2 linked regions of the Drosophila melanogaster genome follow. The gene in region 1 interacts genetically with each later gene. Each region holds a gene or a part of one and is shown on either strand. Other genes may lie near its edges.

Evidence for each region. A genetic interaction does not mean that the proteins touch.
Region 2: of Zyx (region 1) and dco, changing one suppresses a phenotype caused by changing the other (phenotypic suppression), as found in Drosophila melanogaster (one study listed by BioGRID).

The regions. Positions count from the first base shown.
Region 1 is NC_004353.4:1,061,960-1,066,756, forward strand, and holds the start of Zyx (zyxin), read right to left. Parts: upstream 3,043-4,797; 5' UTR 2,864-3,042; intron 2,423-2,863; 5' UTR 2,286-2,422; intron 961-2,285; exon of another isoform or gene 719-960; intron 1-718. Other genes in the region: apolpp (apolipophorin), read left to right, coding at 3,149-3,224, 3,897-3,926, 3,981-4,797.
Region 2 is NT_033777.3:31,055,163-31,062,789, forward strand, and holds the start of dco (discs overgrown), read right to left. Parts: upstream 6,049-7,627; 5' UTR 5,915-6,048; exon of another isoform or gene 5,303-5,914; 5' UTR 5,213-5,302; intron 3,481-5,212; exon of another isoform or gene 3,466-3,480; 5' UTR 3,378-3,465; intron 2,767-3,377; 5' UTR 2,690-2,766; coding exon 1,367-2,689; 3' UTR 1-1,366. UniProt on the Drosophila melanogaster protein: Serine/threonine-protein kinase which is involved in the circadian rhythm pathway, viability and planar cell polarity.

The DNA of each region.
Region 1 (4,797 bases):
TATCTGACTGTCGGGGAACTTGACTATAGCTGTCACTGGAAAACTTTATGGGAAAGTTTCATTCAGGGATAATTAGTGAGACAAGTTTGTGTAGAAGCGAACGGATGGCAAAACAGACGATGAACGGCGATATCGACTCCACCGCTTTCCAGAAACTGATCAATAATTGATAAACCCCTGAACAAATTTTTAACTCAAATTTTTATAATATTTCCTTTGGGCCCAAACAAAACAAATGGCTGTCATGTAGGTGGCTTCCGATAAATTCGCTCACTCGACCACTGTTATTAAAAATATTTATAAGTTAACTTTATGAAATAAATCTCGTTTCAACATCATCCGAAATTGCATTTTTGTTCTTCTCCCAGACAAAGGAATTTTAAAATAAATTAAATCTGGTGCGGCTCTTTCAATTTATTTTTTCGTGATATTTGGTTCAGCTAATTTGCTAATAAATGTAAATGTAAATGCGAAGTCATATTACTTCATATTCAAGAAGAAAATTCTGTTCTCTTCTTATCTTCATGTAAGAAATTCACATTAAATACCGTGGAGGTCTGAATATAAATATTAATTTCATTGAATAAAGTTCCTCGTTAATATAAAAATGATTGCAAACCACAGTTGCTTGTAAATAAGTACCATAACGATATCCATATTTTTGAACACCACACCCAATCGTCTAATTGTTTGGCCCAATCGAAGCGAAATTAAGCTCGGTGGAGGAGTATTGTAAAGGATAGGGGAATGACCGATTTCTAAGGAGCCACATAATTAGGAGCCAAAATAATTATTAATTAATCAAATACCTTTTTAGTCAAGTGGTATAAAAACCCTAAATATGGGAAATCTATCATGAAAGGTGCACTTTTAAAAGGAAGCTGACTTGGAATCACTTCACATATGTACGGCCATAGAGCTCAATTCATCAGCGGAATCTTTTCAGAAAATGTGGGCACGGTAATCTAACTTTTTAATGGTTAAAGAAAAAAGATTTAAATGGTTGTAATCAGACAATCGTAACTGACATCCTATTCTACGCTTCTAAACAGTGGTCTCCTGCTGTCACAACGCACTATTAGTGATCATCTTCAAAGCGTGGACTTCCGTTTACGATGATTTATTTACTAACCGGGAACAATACAAGAGTAAACTTCTTTCGAACTGTAATTTTTTCTGTCCGATCACGCAGGCTGCCTTTCTGCGTGCTTATCGAGCAGCGTTTTGCTTTCCAGCAACTTTTAATTACAGATTAAAGTTTCTTATCAGTCGTTAACTGCAATTCAGGAACGAACTTTCATATAAACATATTTTATACATCTGTTCAAAATCAAATAAATATACATGTGTAAATATGTGTATGCATATTTTAAATACCTATGTACCTATGCTTGCATTTGTAAGCATACTTTCATCTATATGAAAAAAGGGCATAAAAATGTATAACAAATTCCATTACAGATGTGTGCAAACATGGATTGCAAGTGACAATCTCTGCAAATGCATATATGTATGTATGTATGTGTGTACTTGCGCATTCACATTAAATTTGGAATGATAACAATTGTTACATCGAATTTCTCAATACCTATACATAAAACATAATTGCTTTAGAGTTACAACTAGTTTTCTTATTTGCACATACAGTTTGTCAAGAAACTGTTTACACACTGTGAAATAAGTTGAATTTTTGACTTTAAAGGTAAAAACTAAGGGTTCTTTGCTTAAATTAAACGCAATTTTTTTCTAAAATATAATTAATCAATATTTATTTTACTTATGAATCAAAAAACGAATTAAAAATATTAATTATACAAGAAAATAAACAACAAATTCCAAGTTTACACACTTTTGAGACTGTCAAGTATATAAATATCAGTTTTCAACATTTATAATCACAATTATACTTTGCATTTCTTACAGTTTTCAACACCTTTAAGAGGAAAACGTAATTTGCGATTTGTTTATTACTTTATTAGCCCAAAGCCATATTTAAAATATTGAAAAGGTAGATGAAAGGATTTTGTACTACTAAAGTAATAGAGTGATTCGAACAATATTTGCTTTTAAGTTACATTTTTAATGGAGACTGTGGGTGGTTTTGGTAACATATGGCTTGCCAGAAAATGCGGTGAAGTGTAAATTAAAATGCTTAATTGGGTATAATAGGTCTGGTAGGATGGCCAGAAGGGGGTGGTCACCCAAAACAACCAAGTTTAGAAGCAAGCATAAACGACCCTGTAAAGTATATATATATATATATAAACTTGAGCAGGATTTCTTACCAAATCGATCTGGGCATGTCCGTCCGTGCCCACACTTTTGAAAAATGTTTGATATTTTGCATTTTTGTTATCAGTCAGATTTATCAATCAGATTTTACAATCTACCGATTTTTACGTCGCTCACTGTCACGCCCACACTTAAAAAAAATTTTGTGATTTTTTTTCATGTTATTATTTTTCTGGTCATTTTCCACTGGTATATCGAGAAAATGTAGGTGAAAGACGGGAAATGGTACTATAGCGTCTACATTTTCTATATATTCTATATTTTATATCAGCCATTGTAAGTTGAGCACGTATTATGCAAAGCGATATATTTTTATTTAATTATATCTATATTTAATTATTCTTTATTTTATTTTTGTCTTATGTATTAGATGAAAATTGAGAGTAGGTAAAGGTACTAAGCTAGGGTCGAGTATGTCGAAGTCCGATTATAATGAGATTATATTAAATACACTCGGCTTTGGCCTGAGCACCCATCGCTGGTGATAAAGAATCGTTTAAATGCATGTCTCTCACAATGTGTCTTCATCTGTACTTGTTTCGCTGTATTTGTATTTATTTACAAGACATACACTTAAATACTATGTGGCACAATTGTAGATGTGTGAGTTCTTGATTTATTTGAGGTATTTAAAGTGAGTGTTTTCACGTAATCCGGCTTAATTCGTAGACAACGTTCATTGTATTCGAATCGGTTTAATTCGCGGATGGTCTGTGTGTTTCTTAATCTAAGAAGTATATACAAAGTGAAATTGGACCAGTGTTGGTAAAGGTAAAAAATACATGTAGTAAAATAAAAATGTGATACAAATTGTGGCGTTTGCTATTCCCAGGCTATCCCTAAGGGGCCCAGCGTAATGGCCAGGATGAAATACAATATCGCTTTGATTGGAATCCTAGCTTCTGTGCTTTTAACAATTGCTGTAAATGCTGGTAAGTGCTACAAGTTAAGCTAACCATAAATTATTGAAATCTTGATTTTTATCGAATGATATAGATTATGTAAACTAAATCAAAAATAAATGAGCCGATCGTGTAAAAACATGGTTTAACTACTTAAATCTCTTACAGGAGATTTAATTATGAATGATTTTCTCTACTTTACAAAATTACACTTTTTATATTATATTGACTATAATACTATAAAATTTATTAGAATACAAAACTTCAAATTTGCTCCAAAAAAGTCAAAGTTATAAGGATTTGGAATATTCAAAAAAAAAAAAAAAAAATCAAAGTTTGACAAATGCTGTTTTTGCCAGTTAAACCGCAATGTCCAACTGGATTCTTTTTCAGTAAATTGTTAAAAACGGATAGCAAGAGAAATTCTTTTGCCAATAGCTCCGTTAAAAAATCATATATTTCATAAAAATCGTTTGAGTCCCATCAATCAAAACATATAAAATTAGAGGACATTGCACCTTTAAAACTCAAAATCATTGATAACGATTTATAGACCTTATAGATGGTTCAGGTAAATACATAAGTGGTAAAGGGGGAACCCAAATTTTAAAATTCTTTCTGGTGATACTAATATTTATTTGGCGACTTGGAGATTACTTTTCCTTAATTCATTCTATACAAACATTTTCTTTTTAATTTTAGAAAACGCTTGCAATCTAGGATGTCCAAAATGTAAGTAATACAAAAAAAGTATGTATTTATATACTAAACAATTTTATGCCACAGCTGACAATGGACTTTTGAAGTACATACCCGGCAACTACTATGACTATTCCTTCGACAGTATTTTAACTATTGGAGCGAGTAGCGACGTTCCGAACGACTCAGATGATACAAGTCTTAAAGTGTCCGGATCTGCAAAAATTTTTGCGAAAGGAAACTGTGGGTACACATTACAGTTAAGTTCCGTTAAGGTAACTAATACAAAAGAGTCTGTGGAGAAAAAGATATTGAACAGCATTCAGAAGCCAGTTCAGTTTACACTGGTAAGTGGAATTTTAGAGCCACAAATTTGCTCAGACTCCAGCGACTTGGACTACTCTTTGAATATTAAGCGCGCAGTTGTATCATTGCTTCAATCGGGAATAGAAGCGGAACATGAGGTTGACGTTTTCGGCATGTGCCCTACACATACATCAACATCGAAAGTGGGTAACGCAAATATAATTACGAAGGCGCGGAACTTAAACAGCTGTTCGCATCGCGAGCAGATAAACAGTGGCTTGGTGTCCGGCAAAGTTAACGAAAAAGCTGGCATTACGTCTAGCCTGCTGTTGCAGGCAAACTATATAAAGGAGTCCAGGATTGTAAACCACTTAATTGAAAATGTTCAGCTGACAGAAACATATAAGTTTATTGGAAATACTAAAAGAAACTCTGATATCAGTGCAAAAGTAGTCACAATATTAAAACTGAAAAATCCAAGCGGTACCAAGGCAAACTCACCAGGAACTGGTTCTACTGTCAGAAGCCTAATATTTCAGAGACCAGAAACCTATACCTCCAAAAATATTAACGCCCTCAAAACGATTCTATCTGATCT
Region 2 (7,627 bases), on another chromosome or scaffold:
ATCTCTTGGCGCATTTAGAATTTAAGTTTTTTTTTTGCATTTTCCTTTTTTATTTTACGGTTTGGTATTACTTATAAACAAATTTCATATTATAGCTATAGTTTATTAGCTAGCGTTGTGTAACTTTCCTCCGCAGGGCCATTACTTACATTGTTAAATCGAAACGTTAATGCAATTGTTTTGTTGTGTATGTCTAACGCAATTTATATGCTCTCTATCTTAGTTACATGATTTTGTTGCGTAAACAAAGGGCTGCCCCAACTCCCAGCTCCCACATCTCGCATCCCATTTGCCCACCGCTCGGGAAATGCGCGCTTAAGTGTTTAAAAATCGGAAAGATATATATGAACACAGGCAGCAAAGTGCAGACCACGAAAGTATATATATATATATATATATATATATATATATATATATATATATATATATATATATATATATATAAATATATATATATAGATAGGGGAGTAGGCGGTACAGAAGGTTACATAATATAACATAGGAGGGCCTTATAAGTCAGAGCGTTGCTTAAAGCTAGAGAACTGCACGTGGTAATCGCAATCATTTTACCATCAACTTAGGTTACAATGTGGGTGCCTTGCTGTGTGGCATATGCTTTTGTATGGATTGGATTCGCTAGAGCTAGAGCCTATAGTCTAGGGTTAGGGACACTCGCTGAACGCGGTGTCCTTTGTTTCTTTTACACAAATATTACACTTACAATCGAGTTATTATGTGTTCATGATCGGTTCTGCATGTTCTGCCTGATTTGGTCTGGGACTTCAAGTTAACAAAGAAAAAGTTGAGCCGGCCAAGAGCAAATAGTCAAATGCAAAACAGAATTAAATGCCTGCGTGTCCTGCTAACCCTCCTCCCAAACCCTTCCGCGGACCCCTAATCAACCGCCGATCTATTGGCCAATCTTCAGGCAGGGATCTCAAATCAATTGAACAGTGCGGTTTGTTGCAGTTTCTTGCAGCCAGGTTGCAATCGTTTATGTTCTAATAGTATAAATTAAATTAATCATAGGCTAGTTAATTAATAATAAGCGCGCTCAACGTTCTAACATCTGGGAGCAGAAACCAAAATGTCAAAAAACAAACGAAAATGTACACACAAAAAAAGAAAAGCGCTGCGCTTTGCTATGCTCTGCTCTTCTTCTCTCACTGCTCTTGTCCTCCGTTTCTGGCAGGGACCTGGTCATCCTGCCGCTTGGATACATTCAACGTGTTTTACCGCATATATAAAGCAAGTATTATATATATTAGGTATATATAACTATATATACTACATGTATAGTTTGTTGAGTTCTGTTGTTGTTTGTCTACTGTGTCGTGTCCAGCGTCGCAACCTAAACGATAAAATATTATTTGGCGTTCCCCACGCCACCGCCCCCTCCGCCGCTCGGCATACCGCCTACGCCCACTCCACCGCCGCCACCACCGCCTCCCTGCCGCATCCGTATCGAAGGCCGACGCTCCGGCGTGTCGTACGGCGGTCTCGACGAGTTGGTGGCCGCCATCGAGTCGTCCATGTTGAGTCCGTTGCCGCCGATCAGTTGGCTGCCGTTACCGCCTCCATTGCCGCCCAGCATCGCCAGCGTTTGGCCGCCCTGGAGTTGCTGTTGCGCTGCACTGCCTCCTCCGCCACCCAGCGCCGCATTGACCTTGTGCTGCTGTTGTTGATGCGAGGAGGCGGCTGCCGCTGCTGCCACCGCCGCTGCTGCGGCCACCGCATCATGACCCGCCTGGCCGTCCGCTCCGTCCTGCGCCTGCTGAATCGCCTGGGGATTGCGAGGTCCGCCAAACTTAAGCAGGTTCCAGTCAAACACATAGTCGTAAGTGAAGCCCAAACGGTGGAACAAGTTGCGGAAGAGTTTGCGCAGGTGGCAGTAATCGGGACGCTGGTCGAAATGCATCTGGCGACAGAAGTTCAGATAGTTGACGAACTCGCTGGGGAAGCCCTTGCACAGCACCACAATCGAGGTGGACAGCTTCTTCTCCGAGATCCTCTCGTACTTTTGCCTCTTGTTGGCTGCCTTTAAGCCCTGCCAGGGCAAGGCGCCCAGATTGAAGTACATTAGGACGTAGCCCAGGGACTCCAGGTCGTCACGACGCGATTGCTCAATGCCCAAATGTGTGTTGATGGAGGCATAGCGGGCAGTGCCCGTGAGGTTCTTGTTTTCCCGATAGGGAATGTGCTTCAGCGACCGGGCATCGCGGAATTTCTTGGCCAGGCCAAAGTCAATGATGTACACCAGGTTGCCCTTTTTGCCAAGACCCATGAGGAAGTTATCCGGCTTGATGTCGCGATGGATGAAGTCCCGCGAGTGTATGTAATCGATGCGGGAGATCATCTGGTCCGCCAGCAGCAGAACCGTCTTCAACGAAAAGCGGCGTGAACAAAAGTTGAAGAGGTCCTCCAGCGAGGGTCCGAGTAGCTCCATCACCATCACATTGTAGTCGCCCTCGCTGCCGCACCAGATTATGCGGGGTATGCCTATGCCACCCTGCATCGTCTTGTAGAACTTTGACTCGATGTGCAGCTGGGGGTGTTTGGTGCGGATGCACTCCAGCTTGATGGCCACCTCCTCGCCAGTGTTGATCGTGGTGCCCAGGTAGATGTCGCCGAACGATCCCGATCCTATCTTGCGGCCCAGGCGATATTTGTTACCCACGCGCAGCTCCATTTTGTTACGTCTGTTTCTGTGGGTTTCTGTGTGGTAGAGTTCGGACTCCTCGGGTTCCTCGGATTTGCGTTGCCTTTCTGCGGGACCGGAGAATTGAAATTTAGTTTTAATTTTACAACACATTGCCTCGAAAAGAAGGCTGTACGCTTTTCTTACTCATAATACTACACGCTACACGAATTGATCGATCCCAGTTCAGATTAGCTGCGCTTAAAATATTATACAGATTTAAATATCTACGCCAAGGACTAAAACTTTTACTTTGTAATCGCGAAAGGATATTGAAAGGTTGCTACGATGCAGGCAAATTGTTGAATTCGATCAGAATGTAAATATTCGTAGTATTCTTAGTTGCTTTGACTAATCATAGAAATAGCAGCGGCGTCACAGGTTTTTACGAGTAAATATGAATCAAGTGACTTCGAAAATTCGGCTATTGACCACTAGCAACAATGTGTGATATTATTAGAAGAGATTATTTGCAAGCAACAACACAATATCGAACGCCTTGTTAGCGATAGTGATAAAATATTCGTCGGATTTTGTTTGCTACAACTTTTGATTCTTCTGACACTATATTGTGACACGTGATGACAACCCTGCTGTTTTGTACAGTTTGCTAAAAGTCTAATTTTGAGAGCTAACGGAGCTTCGTGAGTATTTTCCAACACTTCTCCACTTTTCTCACCTGGCACTGTCCTTTCGTCTGAGCTCCTTTCTTCTTCTTGTTCCGATTTGTTCAAGGCAGTCGCTTATGGCTTTGTATTCGAAGGGTTCTGTAATAGGAGGTACTAAGTTAATTTTTTTTTAGATCCTCAACATGGTTAATCGAAATTCGACCCGTCTCGCGATCACTTATATATAGAGAGTAATCCCCTGTTTTTATCGCATCTGCAGCGTAAGCCCGAAAAACGTGCAGAATTCGCTTTTGTTTGTGGTGATAAGGATTGTGGCACACAGACATGAAAACAACGCACGGCAACAATCGATATCGAAAATAGAAAACCGTTAGCTAAGAATAAAACAAGAGAGAGAGAGCGGGAGAGAAGTAAGCTTGGCTTACGTTGACAACACAAAAATAGCAGAGAAAAGCGTACCAAAAGCAATTCGAAATGCAAATGCACAGTGGGCAAAAATGATAAGAACCCGAACCTCGCACAAAGTAAAAGTTTATCTCGTATATTTATATTTAAGAGTGAGTGCGTCATTGCATTCGGCTGTGTGTATTGATTACGAATGGGGAAAACAACAGATTTAATAAGTGATGAGTAACGATAATTTATATGCACAGAGCAAAATAGCACTACTTTTTGACATTCGTCACATTATTGTTTTAGTCATTTTAATATTATATTGTACTATTATAAAATAAAGCAAATGTGCCGTAGTGCTTTTACATCCTTGAATAGATATAATTCTTTTTTTCAAGTGTATTTTTTACGTGACGACACCAGAAACATGGAGGTGAATCAGCAATCAGGAAAAGACAACGAAGAGATTAACAACAAATAGATAAAAGAGACGTGTGTTTGTGTATGCGTGGAGTAAACAATCGGCGACAAAAGGGAGAGAAGTAAAATAAAACGCAGCGACTGTGAAAATGCCACTTAAATGACACTTTCAGTGGTGGAAAGCACAAACAAATAGCGAAGATAAAGCGCATGGAAGTCAGAAAACGAAGCAACAAGCCGAAAGTTTTCACTTGCCGGTCAAATATCACAAAAATTTAGTTTAATTGTTTTCGGCGGCTCTCACTCACTAACCCCTTCCCACTCCTCTTTCCCACATTCTGTGCGCTTTCTTTTACCGCTCACGCATTTCGATCGCTCTCTCTCTTTCTCTCTCTCTCTCTCTCCTCCTTTTCCCGACTCTTTATCACTCACTCTGCGGTTCTAACCTCAAAACCTGCCTGTGTTTGTTGTTGTTTTCGCCTTGGCTTTGATTTATTTAACCGAAATGTACCGTTTTTTATTTGTATCTCCCATGTTCTACACAGAAAGAAATCACTGTATAAGCACTGTAAGTCAAATTGAAATGTGGTATTAATTTTAGGAGCTTTAATTTGTTTACTGGAAGGCTAGCAGGGAAAACGCGGTCTTTCCTATTGGTAACTAAATATTTCCCAGGGTATCCAGCAGTTGTTTCGGACCAGCGGGTAAACACGAATTGATTACAATTGCAAAACAGCTGCACGTTGCGTTGGCGGCTGCCGAAAAGCTTCCGCAAAAAAACGCACTGGAGAACAAAGAAGATACAAAAAACAGTTGTTCCAGCAGGCGCCACAAAAGTAAAAAGCTTAAGTAAACAGGGAAGAGCAAATGGAAAAACCAAAAACCAGAGCAAAACCAACGGGGAAACCTCAGAAGGGGAAGGAAACTTGCAATTAATTGTCAAACGCTAATGGCCTCCGAAAACTAACGGCACTCCACGAATGCACTGCGAATAACGGGGCTGATAAGGAGCAGCCGATAGCGGGTGGAGAAGGGAAACTTGAACGCACAGTGGAACAAATTCCGCACTTACCGTGGCTTGTTTTTCTTATATTCCTTGTTTCCTATTCCGCTTTGCCCACTTCCTCTGCTGGCGACGCTGCTTTTCCTTCTTCTAATTCGACTGAAATCGAAATCGAATTTTTTAATTGGATTGATTCTGCCACAATAATTTTCATTTTCTTTGTTTTAGAGCCCAGACGTTGTTTTTGTTGTAGTTGCCACAGTCGCACACAAACACACGCACACAGTCGCACTTTTTGGGGCCACACGCAAGCGCATTTTATGCAATAATTTTAATAATACTGCATTGCTGCCATATTTCAGTTATTTTTATCGTTTATCTTCGAGTCGGTTATGCTGTTCTTCTCTGATTTTATGGCCACATTGATTAGCATCTTGTTGCCAATCAACTCGAGAAAATTAAACGAAACCAAACGGAACTCGGACTCTTATTAAAAAAACCAAACTTATGCGAGTCGTTTGCCCTGGCAATAGATTCGTGCACACTAGTCGTCCCGCCCGCACTCGCACGGTTTCTACCGCGAGCACGTTGCTATCCCTCCTGCTTCAGCATTTTCACACCAACACAAAGACGAGGGCACTCACTCACACACTCGCACTCTCAATGAGCACTGAAATGCTGTTGGGAAATTCGAGTTTTCCTGCGCGTGGTAACCGCCGCTTTTTCGCTCGCAAACGGGTCTGTCGATCCGAAACGCTACTGACCACTTACGTTTTGCATCAACGCTGCGCTTTCGTTTCAATTTTTCTGGCTATTTCACATAGATTTCGACGATTTTTTACAAATTTACGCCATCTTGATATTCGCAGTGTGACCGCGCCGATAATGAAGAAAATTACCATCTGGTATTTACTCCTCAGCGAATGTCTAGAAGATATGTAATTGTGAAAAACTGTGATTCATATACTAAGTTAAGATAGTCCAAAGTTGGTTTCGAAGTACCACATTAAGAAAATAGCGCAAGAGTATTGGAAAATCAAAAGAAAAACGAAATTATATCCTTGCAGCTAGCCATAAGTTCAAAGTTCGAGTAACTGGAAAGCTGTGAAATAGCCAAGTTGACAACGCTGTTTTTGTTATATGGGCACACTAGTTCTTACATAGACCCAGTGCTGCCAGATGGACGAAAAATATTTTTGAGCTGCGCCACCTAGCGGATGAGTTGGCGAAAGTGGTATCCAGGTGGCGCCCGAAACAAAAGGTGGCGCCTTATTTCAGAAATGCAATTGAAAATATCTAAAGTTATTGAAAGTTTTTGAATTATGCATTCAAAGGCCCATCTGCTTAATTTTATTTTCAAAGAGAATACAATAAACAATACAAAAAAAAAAAAATCATTCTGAAATGATATTTATACTAATATACAAATTTGATAACTCAATAATATGTAAATAAAATTTATGTCTTAATTTGCAATGTTCTTAAGAAAAGTTGTTAACTCTTTTTACAGGCTTGTGCTCCAAATTCTCGTGTAAATAGAAATTGAAAATGGATTTCATTGGCATGTCTTGCAGTTATAGGTAGCATGCCAATTTTGATGTTACACAGATGTATCGAAATACCTGAAACGTATACTTTTATTGCAGCAATACGAATAAAGCAAAACACGTGTGAATTCCATTAGTCCGCCCAACCGCTTTCCCCATTTACCCTCACATCGTGCATTTTCCGGCTGTGTAACCCAAGAAACGATGACATAAAAAAAGGAAGCAGATCCAGTTATGTATGCATATATGAGAAAATGTGTTTTTTTTTTTTTGGGAGTATGTGCCAAGGTGTGTTTCTTTTTAAGTGGGGGTAGGGTAGATAAGCAATCACTCGAAAATGATAACAAAAAAAGGGGTGAAAAGAGTGTAACGATTCGATATTGGGGCTGGCAATTTAAAATGAAATATAGACAAAATAAATCACATTAATTGCACTTGCCTACGATTTTAATTTTCCATTGCTGTATTTATATACATTAGCCAGAATGCATTTTTTTTATGCAACTATAGAAATCTCCATTTTCAATTTATTGGTGAATCGTTCAAGATCTTCGTAAAAACCCGCCTTTGTCTCCCATTGGCTGGGAAAAAGAGAAAACAAAGCAATCCAACGAGGCAATTGAAGATACAACAAGTAAAACGAGAAAACAACTCGTTTAACCGCTCACACACACACACTAATTCAAAGCATATCTTTCCCACTCACACACGCAAAGACGTGCGATCGCCGACGAATGAAAATCGTCGTTATTTCGACCGATGGTCAACTACCAACAAATAAATAACGAAAAAAGTAAACCAAATATGTAGGTGCGAAGCAATAAAAACCGAGCGAGACGCGTGTATGTAAATGATCCATTCAAAGAACACTGTAAAAAAGTATGCCACATTATTGGGATACTAAGACAATTTATTTCCTAATTTTGTTGTATTTTTT